Linked DNA regions of Bombyx mori. The protein of the gene in region 2 purifies or fractionates together with the protein of the main gene of each other region. This does not show direct contact. Links are inferred from orthologs where the notes say so. Each region holds a gene or a part of one and is shown on either strand. Other genes may lie near its edges.

Region 1 (4,566 bases), on a different chromosome or scaffold from region 2:
GTCCAAACAAAAATGTAAGCAAAACCTACACTTGAGTTTAAAATGAAGTATTGATAATTGGCAAGTAATTTTGCAGTATTATGTACAAATCATTCCTGACCTTAGTAAAAAAAACGTAATGCTTAACATAATTTATTGTGATTAAATAAAATAGTTATGTCTCTTCCATTATTTCGTCTACAAGTACATTTTCTTGATGATCATCATTCTCTGCCTGTTCTTCATCACTTGGAGAATCATTGTCTATATGGATACCTTTTCCTTTTGTCCAGTGACATTTAATCACTAACTTAAAATCTGCCATTTCTATGCCTATCAATTTTAATATACTTGCTTGTTCTGGGGTCAGTGGAGCACCTTTCTTGCAAACCTAAAAAATCAAAACGAATTTGCCATTATTACTTACACCACAGTAACTAAAACTTCAGCCTACATTATGTTTCGATAATGTCAACACTTTGAGGTATTAAGTAACACATAACTAATTACAAAATTTTGAAATTAAGTAAAATGTTGTGCTTGACTGCTGTACAACATATAATGTCTGTATTTTGGTAATTCTTATAGATTTTGGAGTTGTTGAGGCCGAAAGGGTTACAACCCCAGTGTGGATACTGTACGATAATCGGAAACGCTCGTCACAATGGCTGAGCCCTGGAGACCCAGCCAAATCCTGCCCTAAACGGAAATTGAATCAGAAAAAGTCACTTGTAAGTGTTTGGTGGACTAGCGCCGGTTTCTTTTACTACAACTTGATGATTTTTTAAATTCATATATGTTTCAAGTCTATTGATTCATTCACTTTAATCGATGTTTTTAAGCAGGTCTCTCACTATGAACACAAATGTTACCTATTAAAATAACTAAATATTAGTGAATACTATGTGTTTCACATTACCTGATATTCTTTTATTAGATTGATAACACCTTTTTCTAGAGATGTAGGTAAGCCCAAACGTCTTAAATGTGGCTCAATAGTGTGTGAAAAATCTGCTAGAGGACCTTTGGGTAATAAAACATCTTTTGTTGCAATGAAGCCAGCTCTTGCATATTCTGATGCTTGATAACTTTTAAACCAGTTCAGTACATCAGGCACATCTCTATTTGTCATTAGCAATCCACACTGACCTTTTAATTTTTTTGATAACTGTAACATAAATTAACTTTATTTAAAACATTTAATGCGCTAAATGATAGAAGTTTATTATTGCTGGATGTCACAAAAATCCAATAGCTTTACTTTTAACTCTTACTGTCTTTATTAATTTTCAATATTGAAGTGCTTGAAGACATTATTTAGACAGGATGCCATTTTCTAAGACAAATTAGTAGTTTCTCTCTCAAATTATACTTATAAATTGTTCACAATTTAATAATTTATGTTCTCCAGATATAAGATGATGAAATAAGTAAGTCAAAGTCAAAGTCTTCTAAAATATTTTGTTGATGATAGATATCCAGTCTTCACAATTCAGCTTTACTCAAAACTAAATTAAGCTACATACACTCACCAGATTTAGTTGCTCTTCTATTTCATCACTCTTGGTCTTACCAAGAGCAATAGCCATTACTTTATTTTTTCCAAAAAAGAATCTGGAATCCTTCCAATCATTCCGTAGGTCCTTTAATTTTGTATTTCTCATGTTATTGATGGTAAACAAAAATATGTGTTCATATTTGCTCAGTGAATTTCTTATTTCTTCTATGACTTTTTGTTTGTGTACTAAACCTTTTTTGTTGGTTTTTGTAAGTGATACTGAAATCAAATATTTAAGGTATGATATACTGATTTTTTTCACTGAAATTGTAATAATTATTATATTTATATGATTGTAATTCAAATGGTTAAAAATGATTTATTTGCTTAAGTACTCGCTTACTTTCATTTCAAGGCAGAAAATGAAAAGGATTTTGCGAAGGCTATTATGATACTGATCATTACTTGAAACTTGGATGTTTTGTTTCACATGTGCATGATACTGCATGGAAAGCTGTTTATATTTTAATCACCTTTACAGGCTGTTCACTATCTTCTGGGAGTTTTAGAAAAGAGAATAGACTTTCCTAGCACACCTAACCCCTTTTTGGTGACAATTTTAAGGTTAGAACGATTTTTTGTAGTGTCGCATTCGTAAATTAAATCTACGGAATACAATCTATTTTGACATCCAAATAATGCCATAGGGTACCAAATTTAACCCTAAGTTCTGTGATTGCCACTCTGCTAAAGTATGATTTTAAAAAGTCACTTACCTTTCTTATCCCTTTTTGATTTCGGCATATTTGTTTTATTATTTTATTATGGAAAAGACAAAATTTACAATTTAATTAGTTCTGCAATTTCAAAAATCACGTGCACTGGATTTGTTGATTTGTTGTAAATTAATATTCGTGATCACAGTTCGTAATGATTTTTTTTAAGTGATTTTATGACCTGGTAACTAAGACCTTTAAGTCATATCTTATTTTAATTTATATTCTTATTTTTATTTTTATGAAAAATGATAATATGGAGTGAAATGAAATGAAAATGATTAATTTGAGACGTTAATCAACTGGGATGAAATTAAATGAAATGAGATGATATGGAATGAAAAATAATCTTAGTAAAATGGTGGTCATTTACTAAGATTTTTTCAGTGGACTTTTTGGAGGATCCCGAGAAGTTGCGTCCAGCGGTTTTGTTTCATTTTCCCACATTTGTGCACTTTCACAGATATTAAACAGTTAATAAACCACCGTTATTACACATTTAAACCTGAAGAAACACTAAGTAGACAAAATAAAACAAATCACACAACTTCACTCCTCGCGTTCCCGCCAAAAAGTCTCGTAATGTTTTTTTTTTTTAAGAGTTTTTATGACCGGGTAACTGAGACCTTTAAGTCATGTCTTATTTTACTTTATATTCTTAATTTTATGAAAAATGATAATATGGAGTGAAATGAAATGAAGATGATTAATTTGAGACATTAATCAACTGGGATGAAATTTAATGAAATGAGATGATATGGGATGAAATATAATCGCAGTAAAATGGTGGTCATTTACTGAGATTTTTTCAGTGGACTTTTTGGAGGAACACGAGAAGTTACGTCCAGCAGCTTTGTTTCATTTTCCCACATTTGTGCACTTTCACAGATATTAAACAGTTAATAAACCACCGTTATTACACATTTAAACCTGAAGAAACACTAAATAGACAAAATAAAACAAATCACACAACTTCACTGCTCGCGTTCCCGCTAAAAAAGTCTCGTAATGATTTAAAAGCATGATACGCATAGATTATACACTTAATATATTTGAGACGCCTGTCAGTGTATAATCTATGGCCTGACAGGTTGACTGACATTTTTAGAGTTGAACGATGCTGAAAATAGATCTGTAATGGTTTTAGAATTGAATATAAACTGAATCTAAATTTATTAGTTTAGTTCTTGTTCTATTTAATTTTCCTTGCTATTTTATTTATAAAATCAATTTATTTTTAATCACTATTATGCTTTGATATAATCTGCTTTAGATTGTGTAACATTCATATTTAAAATCCTCACTGGGACTTTGATTTATCTTTATATTTAATTTGAATACAGTATGGTTAGATTAACGAAGAGGAATAAAGATATTTTTTTTTTATTACAGTTTAATGCACACATAGGTACTTAGGTATATCATTTGTTGTTACATTAATTTTACTCTTTCTTATATTAATTATCTTCACTCATTCGAAAATAGTTTTTATAGCTCTCAAGATCTTCATCTGCCAATTCAGAGACTAACTTCATTGCACCTAAATGCCTTCTTGTTAACCATCCTCGAATCTACCAACGTCTTTTTTTTCTGGATAGCCTTTTTTTAGGTTTATAGGTATATAAGCATTTCTTTAGCTACATTGAATATAGCAAAATATAGCTTTGATGCTCAAGGCGCCATGTTTACTGCGATACTGTGGATTTCGCGACACTAATTTTTTAACGAAATTACTTTCGCCTATTAATATATCAAAACTACTTTCGTGAAACTGAGTTCAACATGCATGACACTAATTTCGAAATGTAAATTCTGCATTACCGTCGCGACGCGGCGTCGTCTTGCCTGTTTTTGCCGTTTCAAGGGTGAGACAGCTTTTACCCAATAGAATTATTAAAACTTTGACTACACTAAAGTTACCAGAGCCTTAGGTTACCTAGGGCTACCCGAATCATCTGGGGTTGTGGACTCATTCACCGAATTCACGAAATAGAAAAAAGGTTTTTTTTTAACTTAAATAAATGCTAATGTAAAAAAAACGAACAATGTTCAGGATGAAAAAATACCTTTGCAAAAAATAGAAAAAAAATTCTCAGAAAAGTAACGCAACCAACAAATGACTATGGTAGGTAGATACGTACTTCTTTTGAAATTCAGGAATCTTATTACGGTAACATCGTCCTAAAAATTGCTCGATTTAACGGGTGTTAGGATTCCGAGAGCGGTTCTACTGCAGTCTCTATACCTATATGTTTTGGAAACTAGTCGAGGAAGTCACTTTTTTATTCTGCTATTTGAATATCCCGCGTTTTC
Region 2 (4,291 bases):
ACATCTTAGATAAATAACAGGATAACTATTAACCTTTATTTAATGCAGGTTTTGAACCGTATTCTTTGAAGGAGACGATTATATTCAAATAAATCTGTATTGACATATCAATAAATTTTTTTTGTCCAAATGCACAGATTGCCGCCTTTGATAATAGACGACTCATATAATCCGCACTTAGCAATCTTTTAATTAAAAAGATAACAAGCACCCTCACTAATACACTAAATTGTTGAAATAGATCTCTATATCAGTGATCAAGAGAGATAGGCCTGTATTCATATTGGATGGTACTGATGGTACAAATGCACAGAAGCAAATCCAAGGGGACTCATGTCTTATCATTAGTAATTCCATTGCTTACTTTATTAATAAAACTTGATTTTCCGACATTTGGGAATCCACAGATGATTATCGTCCTGGTGTAGGGATCTATCGATGGTAAACGTGCTAAATGTTGACGGACCTGCAAAAGAATACAGTCCACATTAGAAAATATTGTTGTATTTGGTTTTTATTCATTAAATACAATTATCTTATACCTTTAAACGAGCAATTCTTGTATATACCTATATATAATTTGAATCTGGGAAACGGCTCCACGATTTTCATAAAAATCTGGGGCGATAAATCGATCTAGCTACGATTTATTTTCAGAAAATGTTGTTTTATTCGTGTTTTCAATAATCAACTTCACCAATAATCAACTTTATGACTCTTCCCGACATCTATTGGCGAATAATAATATGTACTATTTTTCATAATTTACAGCAACTAACTGCTTTAAAGACACAATAACAATAAAGCTATTTCAGCAGATAGCGTTGTTAAGCCACCTGAAGCCAATGAGTGTTTGGTTTAAGGTTAGACCAAGAAAATGAATTGTTTATTTATATTATTTGTCTTTTTAACTCACGTGTTCACTTAAAAATGCCTAAACGAGCTTGGGATATTTCATCATTCTATCAATATGTGATTCGTATTTAAATATAATTTCTAAACAACATAATTTATAAAAAAAAAACGTCATCGGTCATCGTCTAGTGTACATAGAAATGAAATCTGGAAGAATTATAAAAGCTACTCTATGCTATTGTTACACTGTCTATATCTGCAAGAAACATTCATATTGGAATGAACCCCTTTGAGTACACCACTTTAATACTACTAGAATATGTGACAGCAACGTTATGATTGTAATCTACTTATTGTTGAATCATCACAAGTATGACATACCTGTTCCAGGTATGTAAGATTAGCTCCTTGCCGTTTCATGATGGTGGCCATGCGACCCAGAGCCGCACGTTTGAGCTGTTTGCACCGATACAACGAATCTCCATATTTTAACAGTCTCACATAGTCTTTTGCGACACTGTAAATGAAGCATTAAGGATGTGAATAAAATATGAAGTAATCATGCCCTAAAAGATAAGACGATCTGACTGAGCTGGTATTCGAACCCCAGAAGCAAGGAACAATTTTTCTAATGAGAAACACACATCACAAATGTTCACTAATGACTTTCACAGTGAAGGAAAAACATTGTGTGGTAAAAATTTAGTAATCAAAAAATAAAAATTTTTAATTCTGCTTAATACATAATTGGTAATTAGTAAAAGATCTCTAGTCAGAGTTGACTAATATATTTTTTTGTTGCTTAGAAGAGTGAATGAGATTATGGCCCACCTGGTGTTAAGAGGTTACCGGAGCGCAAAGATATTTAAAGTGTAACTGCCGTCATCAACCTAGAGACATGAGTTCTAAGGTCTCAGTTATCTACAGTACAATGGCTGCCCTTCGAAGTTAGTTTTAAAGGAATTTATTTGTAAATGGGTTTACACTAATATTGTATGAGAGTTTGTGACATCATCGAGACTTACTTGTCAATAAGATGTCTGGCTGTATTCAGCTGTCCGAGTCCAAGTTTGTAATGATCCTTGTCGTACAATACGTTCATGAGATCAGCATAAAATGGATGGACATCATCTAACTTTGGGAATTCCTGTAAACATTATCTTATTAATCTATGTGTTTAATAACTTATTTATGATATATGTCAGTCTGTTACATCAATATACCCAGCTCAATAGATGAACAAGTCAGAAGCTTGTGAGATTTGATTATTCTTACATTTTCTTTTTAATTTAAGTAACACAATGTCTTGAAAAAGCATCAGAACTAAACTCAAGAGAGTTGAAGCATACATCAGAATGAAGATAGTTTTGTGAAAAAATAATAATGAAACTTTAAATTTCTTTAAGATTGTTCTGGCACCAGCAGTATGAGTCTCTAGAAAACTAAGATTTTAACCAAGAACAATAAAAATTTAGAAAAAAATTGGGAAATGTACACATTTGTAGATTTATTTTTTCGATGTGACGTAGCTACTTTTGCGTATTACTATAACGCTGTTGCTGTTTACCTGAATAATTCTGGACAGTCGGTCGTGGAAGTTCTGCTGGGTATATTTCACTTTTCTAATATAAAACCCACGTATTCTTGATATTTTATAATGCTTGTGAACGACTGTAGGAGTTTTCCTTTGTGTTTTCGATAAAATTATGTCTATAAAGTCCTAAAAACAAAATTTCGAGGTTAACATTCTTATCAATAAGATGATGGTTTTCATAATACATTTGTGGGATTCATACAGTTATACGCTTACCTTAGCTGTAGGGACTACAGCAATCTTTTTAAAGTTGTACAAACTCATTTTGTTTTAATTTAGTGCTATTTTAGTATCATAATCGCTCATAACGAGCATTACACGTAAACACGTGTTTGAAAAGAATATTTGACAATACTGATTTCCTTTTATTTGATTTGTTCGTTGGACAGGCAAAGAAATATAACCTATACGTGAGTATGTTGTAACAAAGGCCGAAAAGTGCGTTATAAATTTAAGAAAGTATTAAATGAAGATAAGAGAAATGAGATCAGAGAAAACTGTAGGTGAAATGAAATGACCAGAACGAAGAGAATTTACTAAGAGCTAAATAGATTTTCAGTCAATTATTTTTCAAGCAGTTTTTTATTTATTTTTCTCTGATTGTGACTTTATTGTTAATTTCATTAAAAAAACAAGTTTCCCATTATTTCTCTTTTACTATACAGGATGTTTAAACATCCAAAAAAAACACTGATTCTGATAATGTACAAGTACAAGGATTAATAATGATTATCCCAAAAAAATGGATTTACTTCTCAATTATACTGTTAAATACTCATTAATATCGAATGGCCACGCGGTGAGCATACTAACTTGTAAATGTAAATACGTTCTGTGACTCTCAAACAGAAACTCTTTTAAAGCGACATTTTAAGTTAGTAAATAAACCTATAAAACCGTTTAGTATCTATAAAAGTGCAGAAATTTGCAGAATAAAAAATTAGTAGTCGTGACTTTTTCGAGTTTTTCTAACATTTTAGTCAGACATTTTTTTCTTAAATCCTTGAGCACTATAATCTATCTTACATGGCATGGGTTTAGCTCACATTTAATAGTCGTATAGGATGTTCGTCAATGTTTCTTTCGCCTATCCGAGTGACAAAAAAAAGTCACAAGCCGTCATTGTCAATTCTAAACTGTCAATAAGCCGACTGTAAATTTGTAAGGTTAGAAAACAGAAATTGAATTTTAACATTAAAAAGTTAAAAGACATAAATACTATTAAACTGGATTCAGTAACATAAGAAAACTGAAAACAAAAAATTGCGAAGATTATTAATTGAGATTTAAAACAGCATCCTTCAACAGTAAGTATCAATAAATTGCATCATGTTTCATTTGTTTTTCGAAAATGCCCAAAAATTAAAAAAATAAACAGTTCTTTTAATATACTATTTTTGTTGAAACTGTTAAATAGGTTCTTTCTATTCATGGATTTTTTTGTTTTAACGAATTAATGAAAAATAACAATTATTTGTATAAGCACGAAAACTGTGAGTGAAAATATGTTCCAGGAATATAAAGAGCACAAATAACAAACCATGTATTCAAGACTGCGCAATGGTTTTCGGCAAACAGTTAAACACCGACTGGCTTCGCAAAGAAGTTACAGTAATGAGGTTTTGAGGAAAAAGGAAAATTTATCAAAAAATCTTCAAGTTGGGAAGACTATACATGGATTCCTTTGCACCGAAATCGAATCTATACAAGAATACAATATGACAGCTTATTTTTTAACCCACGAGAGAACCAAAACGGAATATTTGCATTTAGAGAGAGATGACTCAAATAATGTATTTTCTGTAGGTTTTCGCACAACTCCGTTAGATTCAATGGGCACTC

Evidence for each region.
Region 1: the proteins of nucleolar GTP-binding protein 1 (region 2) and mRNA turnover protein 4 homolog purify together in Homo sapiens (affinity purification with mass spectrometry; 3 studies listed by BioGRID and IntAct, counting the BioPlex papers as one, with this or other methods). This does not show direct contact. The link is inferred for Bombyx mori from reciprocal best matches to the Homo sapiens genes GTPBP4 and MRTO4.

What each region holds. Positions count from the first base shown.
Region 1 is NC_085111.1:7,659,915-7,664,480, forward strand, and holds mRNA turnover protein 4 homolog, read right to left. Parts: upstream 2,826-4,566; 5' UTR 2,282-2,825; coding exon 2,254-2,281; intron 2,102-2,253; exon of another isoform or gene 2,019-2,101; intron 1,757-2,018; coding exon 1,512-1,756; intron 1,148-1,511; coding exon 899-1,147; intron 711-898; exon of another isoform or gene 568-710; intron 371-567; coding exon 155-370; 3' UTR 120-154; downstream 1-119. UniProt on the Homo sapiens protein: Component of the ribosome assembly machinery. Nuclear paralog of the ribosomal protein P0, it binds pre-60S subunits at an early stage of assembly in the nucleolus, and is replaced by P0 in cytoplasmic pre-60S subunits and mature 80S ribosomes.
Region 2 is NC_085108.1:531,053-535,343, reverse strand, and holds the start of nucleolar GTP-binding protein 1, read right to left. Parts: upstream 2,827-4,291; 5' UTR 2,714-2,826; coding exon 2,666-2,713; intron 2,576-2,665; coding exon 2,423-2,575; intron 2,003-2,422; coding exon 1,881-2,002; intron 1,373-1,880; coding exon 1,237-1,372; intron 467-1,236; coding exon 365-466; intron 1-364. Other genes in the region: presequence protease, mitochondrial, read left to right, coding at 3,991-4,291. UniProt on the Homo sapiens protein: Involved in the biogenesis of the 60S ribosomal subunit. Acts as a TP53 repressor, preventing TP53 stabilization and cell cycle arrest.